3 linked regions of the Callithrix jacchus genome follow. The protein of the gene in region 3 interacts with the protein of the main gene of each other region in a pairwise test. Links are inferred from orthologs where the notes say so. Each region holds a gene or a part of one and is shown on either strand. Other genes may lie near its edges. The genes, in order: NFKBIE, KEAP1 and RELA.

Region 1 (2,573 bases), on a different chromosome or scaffold from region 3:
CCCCAGCAGTGCTGCTCTGTTGCCTGGCTTTGCTGCCCCAGGAGGTCCTGGACATTCAAAACAACCTTTACCAGGTTGGTGACGAGAATGGGTTGTGCCCAGATACCTGTTTGTGCCCTGACAGCCATCCCCAGCAGCCACGCTAGTCCATAGGCCGCTCACTGAGAAAACCATATGCCAGACACTGAGCTAGAAGCTGAAGAGACAAACACAAGTAAGACACAGCCTCTCCCTAAGGTGCTTGCAGCCTGGGCTGGGGGACTCGTGTCAACAGCTAAATACACAGCCTGGTGACAAGAGCTGTGATAGAGACACACACCAGCTGCTATGGGGTCCACCGTCCATGTGTAGCAGCCAGGGAAGGCTTACAGAGGAGGTGACATCTGAATGGAGCCTTTGCAGAGACGTTTGCCAGGGAAAGACTGCCTGGTGCCTCTATCTTTCCTCCAACATAACCCCTGCAGCCTAAGGCCTGGGGATAAGAGAAGTCTCCCCACAGGATGAGAGGCTAGACTCTGTCCCTACATATCCTTTCTCCAGGGCCTATGGTGACTTACAAGAAAAGCAGAGAGCTACTTTCTTCACCTTGCTTCCAGAATTGGGGTCCCAAGAGATTGGTGGGACTCAGGCGTGACAGGAGAAGGGCTTGGTAGTATTTCCTTGGAAGCCCAGGCTATGACCTTTATAAGTGGCTTTCAAAGAAGACGCTGGCAGCTAGTGATTCTGGAGCCCAAGCTTGTTCCCAGAGGTGGGAGCATGCTGCAGTGGCCCCATGACCCTCTATTTGTGCCTCCAGACAGCACTCCATCTGGCTGTACATCTGGACCAACCGGGTGCAGTTCGGGCACTGGTGCTGAAGGGGGCCAGCCGGGCACTACAGGACCGGCATGGTGACACAGCCCTGCATGTGGCCTGCCAGCGCCAGCACCTCGCCTGTGCCCGCTGCCTGCTGGAGGGGCGGCCAGAGCCAGGCAGAGGACCATCTCACTCTCTGGACCTCCAGCTGCAAAACTGGCAAGGTGTGGACAGTCTTAGGGCCTGTGGGAGGAGGAGGGCATAGGAGATAGGGCTCCCATTCTTGGGGAAGGGAGGGTCCCAGCTTGTCCATTGGTGCCCCTCCCACTGTAAGCACATAGATATACAGCACATCTTTGCTAAATGAATGAATGGATGAGTTAGAATTTACCCAGTACCTACTGCGTGCTGAGCAGAAAACTAAATCTTGCTTTTAAGGTACTTAGTTTAACAGAGATCAGATGACCCGATTCATTCATTCAACAGAAACATGCCGAGGGTTTTCTGTGTGCCAGACATTATCCTAGGAACTATGCTTGCGTCTGTGTGCAAAACAGAGAAAGATTGAGACAAGCAATAAATACAAGAAGTGAACTATGTAATAAGTTAAAAGGAAGCAAGTGCTGTAGTGAAAAGTAGAGCAGTGAGGGGAAGGAATGTGGGGAACAGGAGAGTTGATAGGATTGTTAAATAGAGTGGTCAGGGAAGGCCTCATGGAGCCAGGGACATCCGCACAGGGACTTGAGGGAGGTGAAGAATGTAAGTTTGAATCAAAATCTCTATTACTAAGCAAGGGTCAGGAAGTGTCCAAGTGTCCAGACCAGAAAGGGGACAGCAAAAAGGCCAGGAGAACACACAGAAGGAAGTGGCCCCTGAGAAAGGGCTGGGGTCATGAGGATCCTAGATGGCTTTTCAGAAAAGATGGCTTTCAGACTGGGCTTGAAGGCAGGTGTGTGTGTGTGTGTGTGTGTGTGTGTTTTGTGTATAGGAGGAGGGTGTTTTTTTGGCATGTCACTCAGCAACTTGACTCCTGAAGCATGAAAGTTTCAATAACATGACTCTGAAAAGGTGGAAACTTTGAGTTCCTTTCCCCTTAAATTTTTGAGGGGGTTTTGGGGTTTGCATTTTAACAGTCTTGTGATTAGAGACATTGAGTGGGCAGTGAGTCCCTTGGGGCTGAATGGCTGGAAGGTCCCGGAAGAGAGGGAGTTGGTGGATGCAGATCAGCAGCCCTCACCCTCACCCCATCCCAGGTCTGGCTTGTCTCCACATCGCCACCCTGCAGAAGAACCAACCACTCATGGAACTGCTGCTTCAAAATGGAGCCGACATTGATGTGCAGGTGAGGCAGCCATCAGCACACTGCCTGGCACAGGGCCTTCCCCCCACCTGACTCTGCCCCCCACCTGACCCAGCCCCAAGCCCCCTGCCCAGCGGTCAGAAGTGGTAGCATTTACCTCCTTATCCAGAGCCTGGGCCCAGCACACTGCCTCTGAAGGCCTTGGCTGATATCCTTATTTCTTCCCAGGAGGGCACCAGTGGGAAGACAGCGCTGCACCTGGCTGTGGAAACCCAAGAGCGGGGCCTGGTACAGTTCCTGCTCCAGGCTGGTGCCCAGGTGGATGCCCGCATGCTGAACGGGTGCACACCCCTGCACCTGGCAGCTGGCCGGGGCCTCATGGGCATCTCATCCACTCTGTGCAAGGCGGGTGCTGACTCCCTGCTGCGGAACGTGGAGGATGAGACACCCCAGGACCTGACTGAGGAAGTAAGAGACA
Region 2 (3,648 bases), on a different chromosome or scaffold from region 3:
GACTCAGGGAAATGGGCAAAGACTCAATAGATGGTATACCCTGCAGTATCATTTGTTTTTTGGTTTTGTTTGTTTTTTGAGATGGAGTCTCAGTCACCCAGGCTGCAGTGCAGTGGCACTATCTCGGCTCACTGCAACCTCCGCTTCCCAGGTTCAAGTTATTCTCCCACCTCACCCACCTGAGTAGCTGAGATTACAGGCGCCCACCAATATGCCCAGCTAATTTTATTTCTTTCTTTTTCTTTTCCTTTTTTTTTGATACAGAGTCTCGCTCTGTTGCCCAAGCTGGAGTGCAGTGGTGAAATCTTGGTTCACTGCAACCTTTGCCTCCCGGGTTCAAGCAATTCTCCTGCCTCAGTCTCCCAAGTAGCTAGGATTACAGGAGTGTGCCACCACACTCAGATAATTTTTTTGTATTTATTTATTTTGAGACAGAGTCTCACTCTGTCACCCAGACTGAAGTCCAGTGGCGCAATCTCGGCTCACTGCAAACTCTGCCTCCCAGGTTCAAGTGATTCTCCTGCCTCAGCCTCCCCAGTAGCTGGGATTACAGGCACCTGCCATCATGCCTGGCTAATTTTTTTGTATTTTTAATAGATATGGGGTTTCTCCATGTTGGCCAGGCTGGTTTCAAGCTCCTAATTTCAGGTGATCCTCCCGCCTTGGCCTCCCAAAGTGCTGGGATTACAGGCCTGAGCCATTGCACCCAGCCTTGTATTTATTTTTAGTAGAGAGGGGGTTTCACTATGTTGGTCAGGCTGGAATTTTTGTATTGTTAGTACAGATGAGGTTTCTCCATGTTGGCCAAGCTTGTCTCAAACTCTTGATCTTACATGATCTGCCCATCTCAGCCTCCCACAGTGCTGGGGTTACAGGTGTGTGAGCTACCACACCCGACCTGTTTTTGCTTTTAAGACAGGGTTTTGCTTTGTTGCTCAGGTTGGAGTGCAGTGGCACGATTATAGCTCACTGCAGCCTCAAATTTCTGGGCTCAAACGATCTTCTCACCTCAGCCTTCCGAGTCACTGGGACTACAGGTGTGTGCTACCACACCCAGCTAATTTTTGTATTTTTATGGTAGAGATGGGGTTTCACCATGTTGGCCAGGCTGGTCTTGAACTCCTGACCTCAAGTGATCCACCTGCCTTGACCTCCCAAATTGCTGAGATTACAGACAGGAGCCACCGCACCCAGCCTTGTCGTTTTTTGATGTGGGATCTCACTTTGTTGCCCGGGCTGGTCTCGAACTCTTAAGCTCAAATGATTCTCCTACCTCAGCCTCCTGAGTAGCTGGGATTACAGGTGTGCATCACCATAACTGACTTGGTTTTTGAACTTTAAGAATGTGTTACTTATAGGGCTGGATGCGGTAATCCAGCCTGTAATCCAAGCACTTTGGGAGGCCAAGGTGGGCAGATCACCTGAGGTCAGGAGTTCAAGACCAGCCTGGCCATCATGGTGAAACCCCATCTTTAAAAAATAAAATAAAATAAAATAAAAAGAATATGTTACTTATTTTTTCTGAGTTTATTTTTATTTTTATTTTTTTGAGACGGAATCTCGCTGTCACCCAGGCTTGGGTGCAATGGTGCGATCTTGGCTCACTGCAATGTCCACCTCCCAGGTTCAAAGGATTCTCCTGTCTCAACTTCCCAAGTAGCAGGGACTACAGTCAAATGCCAGCATGCCTGGCTAATTTTCCTTTTTTTGTATTTTTGGTAAGAGATGGGGTTTCACCACATTGGTCAGGCTGGTCTCAAACTCCTGACCTCAGGTGATCCACCTGCCTCGGCCTCCCAAAGTGCTGAGATTACAGGTGTGAGCCACGGTGCCTGGCCAAGACGGGGTATAACCATGTTGGTCAGGGTGGCCTCAAATTCCTGACCTCAAGTGATCCGCTTGCTTCAGCTTCCCAAAGTGCTGGGATTACAGACCTGAGCCACAGCACCTGGCCCTTTCTTGTCAATTTCTATAGATAATTTCCTTCACTGAGAAATGAAAATGAAACCAAAAACAGTGTAAGGAAATTTCGTGCACCAAAAAAAACAAGACTAAGGTTCAGACTTGCAGCCTGTTATGGGTGTCTGATAAACATTTGCTGACTGCCCAAAAGGCTGGGCTGCCCCAGGATTTGGCTGCTTTTCACTGCATTCTGTCCCCACCTTTGACCCCAAAGAAACCAGGGAGCCCAGAGACCCAAGAAGACCTCACCTCCCCCAGCTGTTCACAAGTCTCCCTACATGTGTAGACAACTCAGAACTCCAGTTGTTTTTTAAATTTTTTTTTTTTGAGACTGAGTCTTGCTCTGTCACCCAGACTGGAGTGTTGCGGCTCGATGTCGGCTCACTGCAACCTCCGCCTCCCAGGTTCAAGAGATTCTCCTGCCTCAGCCTCCCAAGCAGCTGGGACTACAGGTGCACCACCATGCCCAACTAATTTTTGTATTTTCAGCAGAGATGGGTTTTCACCATGTTGGCCAGGCTGGTCTTGAACTCCTGACCTCAGGTGATCTACCTGCCTTGGCCTCCCAAAGTGGGACTGCAAACGTGAGCCACCATGCCCAGCCCCTGTTGTTTCTTGTTTGTTTGTTTGTTTACAGACAGGGTCTCATTATGTTGCCCAAGCTGGTCTTGAACTCTTGGCCTCAAGCGATCCTCCCACCTCGGCCTCCCAAAGTGTGGGGACTGCAAACGTGAGCCACCATGCCCAGCCCAGAACCTCCTTTTTCTCCAGTTTCCTGCCTTCATATCTCAATGGGAGACAGTGACCTTTCACATCTCAAGATGGGAGACTGTGATGAGCACTCCTCCATCCCTGGTCCTTCACCTGACACTACCGCCAGCCCCGTCCCCCGCTCACCTCCCCGAAATGCATGTAGATGTACTCCCGGGCACGCTGGTGCAACTCCACACAGCCAATCTGCTCAGCGAAGTTGGCGATGCCGATGGCATTGCTGGGGTCCAGCTGCTGCACCAGGAAGTCACTACAGGCACGGACAACGCTGTCGATCTGGTACATGACAGCACCGTTCATGACGTGGAGGACACATTTCTCGCCCATGGAGATGGAGGCTGTGTAGGCGAATTCGATGAGGCGCTCCATGACCTTGGGGTGGATGCCCTCGATGGACACCACCTCCATGCCCTGCTCCCGCAGCCCATTGGTGAACATGGCCTTGAAGACAGGGCTAGAAGAGGCCAGCACCACCTTGTGAGCCATGAACTGAGCGGCTGGCGTGTCCTGGTACTTGACCTGCAGGGTGACGTCACACAGCTGCTGGCTGAGCCGCAGCTCATTCATGATGCCAAAGGCCTGCTTGGTATGATCCTCCAGGGTGTAGCTGAAGGTGCGGTTGCCGTGCTGGGAGGGCGTCACCTCCGCCTTGCACTCCGTGGAGGCGTACATCACTGCGTCCCCTCCCCCGTCGGGGCACTCTGACCGCAGGGGCAGGAATCTGCTGCAGGCCCCAGCTCCGCTAGGCCTGGGTTCTGGCTGCATGGGGTTCCAGCAGATAAGCAACACCACCACCTCTGGTACTCAGGGGCCTGGAGGGGAGACAGCACAGGGTAGGGGGCAGGGGTTGGGGCTGGGCCAGCACCTGCTTGGCCTCCTTTTGTAAGAGAAAGCAATTTCTAGGTCAGTTTTCCT
Region 3 (4,343 bases):
TCGAGGCTGCAGTGAGCTGAGATCGTGCCACTGCACTCCAGCCTGGGTGACAGAGCTAGACCCTGTCTCAAAAAAAAAAAAAAGAAAAGAAAATACAGAATTCTGGATGGTGGTGGCCCCTTGAGTTTTGCAGTGGGTACACGGGTGTTTATAGCATTAATTTAAAAGTTATAAACATACATGAATTTTAAGAAGAGGATCCATGCAAGATTCAATGATAATTTTATGTCATTAACCAAAGATTTTGATTAATCCATTCTGCCACCTGAAGTCTGCCTCCCCCGCCCCCTAACAAAAGTAAACACTTTTCTAATCAGGGCCAGCCACTGGAGAAACTGAAATGAGTGGGCGGGGTGCTAACTCTATTTTCACTTTTCTCTTCCTGTTTCTTCAGAGCCTGGGAAACAAGTCAGAATTTCCAATCTTTTCCAATTCCCACATGATTTCCTAATTTAAGACGAATTCAGAGAAAAAATAAAGTCTTTCTCCATCTGGAGAAGACTCCGCCCCCTGCAGTGGAGCATCCTCTTTCGGGGAGGAGGTGTGGGGTGGGGGTGCGCCAGCCCCAGCCCCGACACGTACGCGGTTTGGTCTTGGGGGCGATACCGGCACTGTGGGGGTCACATGACAGAATTAGTGGTCAGCCCTAGCTAGAGGTCCAGGGCAAACGCAGGGGTGGGCGGGGGCGTCGTGACTCTGCTGATTCAAGTGTCCCCTGGGGGTCCCGGACCTTCTGAGACAAGCGCCAGGCTGCGGAGACAAGGCTCCGGGGTTTACCCCCGGGCTCCTCCTGCTCCCACGGTCGCTCAGGGTCTAAAATGCAGTTCGGCTGCATCTTAAGCTGGCTCTTTAGCGTGAGAGGGGCGAGCCCTCGGCCAGCTCGCCGGCGGGAGGGCCTCGGTCGTCCCATCCGGGCTGCAGGCTCTGCAGAGCTAGTCTATACTGTCAGGCGAGGAGGCCCGGCCGCTCCCCTTCCCCAGAGCCGCATCTAGATTGGGGTGGCTAGGACATTTTAACGTGCTTCTGAGACAGTCACCACCGAAAGGCGCCTTTAGCGATCAGGAAACCCGCGTAGACTTCAACCACCTGGCCTTTGCGGGCGCAGAAGGCCAGGCTTGGCCTTTCCCTGCGCGGGACGGGTGGCCGCAGCCCAGCAGCCCTGGCTTAGCTCTAGACCCGGCCCAGAGTGACATCACCAACTCCACCGATCGCGGGAAGGGGCCCCGAAATCCCCTAAAAATAAAGTGAGTAATCGACGGACACGCCCTCCAGGTGGGGCCGGGACTCGGAAACTAGCCCAGCAGCCTGCCGCGCCAGCCTCTTCGTCCCCCGCGAGGCGCGCACTTGGCCCCGGCCCCCTGCGGCGGCTGTGCGCGCGGCCTCTTCGTCCTCCGCGCGGCGCGCACTTGCTCTCGGCCCCTGCGCCGGGCCGCCGCGGTGCAGCACGCAGGCGCGGCCGGATTCCTGGCAGTGACGCGACGGCGGGCGCGCGCGGCGCATTTCCGCTTCTGGCGAATGGCTAGGCTGTAGCGCCCGCCGCGGGCCCAGCTGCGACCCCGGCCCCGCCCCCGGGACCCCGGCCATGGACGGTGAGGTCGCCCTCTGACCCCGCGGGGTGGCCGCGCCGGGGCCGCCGGGGCTGTGGCGGGAGCCCCCGCGCCGCTTTCCGCCCCTTCTTGCGCTGATGGGCGCTGCGCAGGGAGCGGCCTGCCTGCTGGATGGTGGCGCGGGGCGGGGCAAGCGGGGAGGGATCTGACTCAGTTTCCCCTCTGGGTGGAGGGGAGGGCCTTAACTCAGTATCCTCCCTGGGTGGGACAGCGGAGGGAGCCTTGACTCAGTTTCCCCCCCACTGTCTATGGGGGCAGCTCTGGCTTCGTTTCCTTGTTAGGGAAGAACGCATCTGATTCAGTTTCCTCTCTGGACGGAGGTGGGGCGTGCCCTCCCCCAGTTTTCCTTATGAAAGGAAAACTAATTCAGTTGCCCTCGGGAGAGGAAGGATTCCTTACCCCGTTTTCTCTCAAGAAGCAGGTGTTTCTGGCTCCTTCTCCCCACCCTTTAGTTTCACCGCCTGTTCTAGGGAACGGGTCCTGACTCCGTTCCCCTGGGAGGGAGCCTGGCTTCTCTTCGTGGGGAGCAGATTCCCCCGGTGAGGATGGGCAGTGGGTGTGTGCTGACCCTGATCTCTCTCCCCTTTCAGAGTTGTTCCCCCTCATCTTCCCGGCAGGTAAGTGGCCCCCGCGGTGGTCGGGGAGGTGCTCCCTGGGGTAGGGCAGCGGGGGCAGCCACCTAATGGGTCTGCGGTGTCCCCTGGCAGAGCCAGCCCAGGCCTCTGGCCCCTATGTGGAGATCATTGAGCAGCCCAAGCAGCGGGGCATGCGCTTCCGCTACAAGTGCGAGGGACGCTCCGCGGGCAGCATCCCTGGCGAGAGGAGCACAGATACCACCAAGACGCACCCCACCATCAAGGTCAGCATTGAGCCGGGGAGTGCGGGGTAGGGACTGCGAGCCCCAGCCCTCTGTTTGGGAGTCAGGTTTGGATGTCTGGGCTTCTCTGTACTTTGGACAGATCAATGGCTACACAGGGCCAGGGACAGTACGCATCTCCCTGGTCACCAAGGACCCTCCTCACCGGCCTCACCCCCATGAGCTTGTAGGAAAAGACTGCCGGGATGGCTTCTACGAGGCTGAGCTCTGCCCGGACCGCTGCATCCACAGGTGAGCTCCCTGCAGTCTAGGAGGCCCAGCCTGAGGGGACAGGATGCGGGCTGTGAGGTAGACGCTACAGTGTTACTCCTTTCTGGACACAGGACAATTTCTCACTCCTTGCTCTGACATAGTTCTGCAAGTAAACTCCCTTTGTTTTAAAATTATCATTTATACCTCTACTCTAGCAGATAGGAGCTCTAGGGGATAGGGATGGGTCCCTAATCACTTCTGAATCCCTGACCCTGTAGCTGGAAGGGGTAGTCCGTCAGAGTCATGTCTCTTGTTTGAGAAAGAAAACCATTGAACCAGTACTCTCCCCGGAGTTGACATTACAGTTGACAGAGACAGACTATAAAAAAAATATACAGGCCAGGCGTAGTGGCTCATGCCTATAATCCTAGCACTTTGGGAGATGAAGGCAGGAAGATCTCTTGAGCGTAGGAGTTCAAGACTAGCTAAGGCAACATAATGAGACCTTATCTCTACAAAAAAATAAATTAGCCAGGTATAGTGTCATGTTCCTATAGTCCCAGCTACTTGGGAGGCTGAGGTGGGAGGACCACCTGAGGTGGGAGGCTGAGGTGGGAGGACCGGCTGAGGTGGGAGGACTACCTGAGGTGGGAGGCTGAGGTGGGAGGACCACCTGAGCCAAGGAGGTCCTTGCTGCAGCAAGCTGTGATCATGTCACAGCATTGAAGTCTGAGTGACAGAGTGACACCCAAGTAAATAGCCTGGCACAGTGGCTCATGCCTGTAATCCCAGCACTTTGCGAGGTTGAGGTTGGCGGATCATCTGAGATCAGGAGTTCGAGACCAGCCTGACCAACATGGTGAAACCCTGGCTCTACTAAATACAAAAACTTAGCCGGGTGTGGTGGTGCACACCTGTAATCCCAGCTACTTGGGAAACTGAGGCAGGAGATTGGCTTGAACCTGGGAGGCGGAGGTTGCAGTGAGCCAAGATTGAGCCATTGCACTCCAGCCTGGGCAACAGAGTGAGACTCTGTCTAAAAATACATAAACAAATAAAATATGAATAAATACACAGATAAGTAAACAAGGTACTGTCAGAGTAATACTTTCAGTGCTGAAAATAAAACAAGGTCATAGGATGAAAGGATAACCTGGGGTCGGGGAGTGAGGGGAGCTAGTGTAATGACTAGATTGGGAGGTCAGGGAAGGCCTCCCTCTGCTACTGCTTGAATGGTGAGGAGGAGGAGAAAAGTAGGAAAAAGAACATTCCAAGCAGACCAAACAAGTGCTAAGACCTTGAAGTGGGAATGAGTGTCTTGTGTTAGAGAAGGGAAAGGAAGCCCCTATGGTGGTAAGCAGATGGCCCAAAGGGAGGCTGGCAGGGGCGGGGGCGCAGAGGTGCTTGTCAGCGGAGGGGAGGGACAGGGTTCGTTGCAGCATAGTGGGAAGCCACTGGAGGGGGTTAGGTATGGAGCGATGATCTGCGGGTGGGCAGGGGAGGAAGGAGCAGGCTGGGCAAGGCAGGAAGGTCCCAGCTCTGCAAGAGACAGGTGAGTGGGGGTGTTCAGTTTCCAGAACCTGGGAATCCAGTGTGTGAAGAAGCGAGATCTGGAGCAGGCTATCAATCAGCGCATCCAGACCAACAACAACCCCTTCCAAGGTAAG

The links.
Region 1: the proteins of RELA (region 3) and NFKBIE interact in binary tests that used the Homo sapiens proteins (3 or more experiments, as listed by UniProt). The link is inferred for Callithrix jacchus from reciprocal best matches to the Homo sapiens genes RELA and NFKBIE.
Region 2: the proteins of RELA (region 3) and KEAP1 interact in binary tests that used the Homo sapiens proteins (3 or more experiments, as listed by UniProt). The link is inferred for Callithrix jacchus from reciprocal best matches to the Homo sapiens genes RELA and KEAP1.

The regions. Positions count from the first base shown.
Region 1 is NC_133505.1:52,725,567-52,728,139, reverse strand, and holds part of NFKBIE (NF-kappa-B inhibitor epsilon), read left to right. Parts: coding exon 1-74; intron 75-796; coding exon 797-1,019; intron 1,020-2,048; coding exon 2,049-2,137; intron 2,138-2,323; coding exon 2,324-2,563; intron 2,564-2,573. UniProt on the Homo sapiens protein: Sequesters NF-kappa-B transcription factor complexes in the cytoplasm, thereby inhibiting their activity. Sequestered complexes include NFKB1-RELA (p50-p65) and NFKB1-REL (p50-c-Rel) complexes.
Region 2 is NC_133523.1:9,678,828-9,682,475, forward strand, and holds part of KEAP1 (kelch-like ECH-associated protein 1), read right to left. Parts: intron 3,546-3,648; 5' UTR 3,499-3,545; coding exon 2,860-3,498; intron 1-2,859. UniProt on the Homo sapiens protein: Substrate-specific adapter of a BCR (BTB-CUL3-RBX1) E3 ubiquitin ligase complex that regulates the response to oxidative stress by targeting NFE2L2/NRF2 for ubiquitination.
Region 3 is NC_133511.1:122,752,094-122,756,436, reverse strand, and holds the start of RELA (transcription factor p65), read left to right. Parts: upstream 1-1,496; 5' UTR 1,497-1,582; coding exon of another isoform or gene 1,583-1,589; 5' UTR 1,590-1,684; coding exon 1,685-1,721; intron 1,722-2,197; coding exon 2,198-2,224; intron 2,225-2,314; coding exon 2,315-2,466; intron 2,467-2,566; coding exon 2,567-2,715; intron 2,716-4,246; coding exon 4,247-4,338; intron 4,339-4,343. UniProt on the Homo sapiens protein: NF-kappa-B is a pleiotropic transcription factor present in almost all cell types and is the endpoint of a series of signal transduction events that are initiated by a vast array of stimuli related to many biological processes such as inflammation, immunity, differentiation, cell growth, tumorigenesis and apoptosis.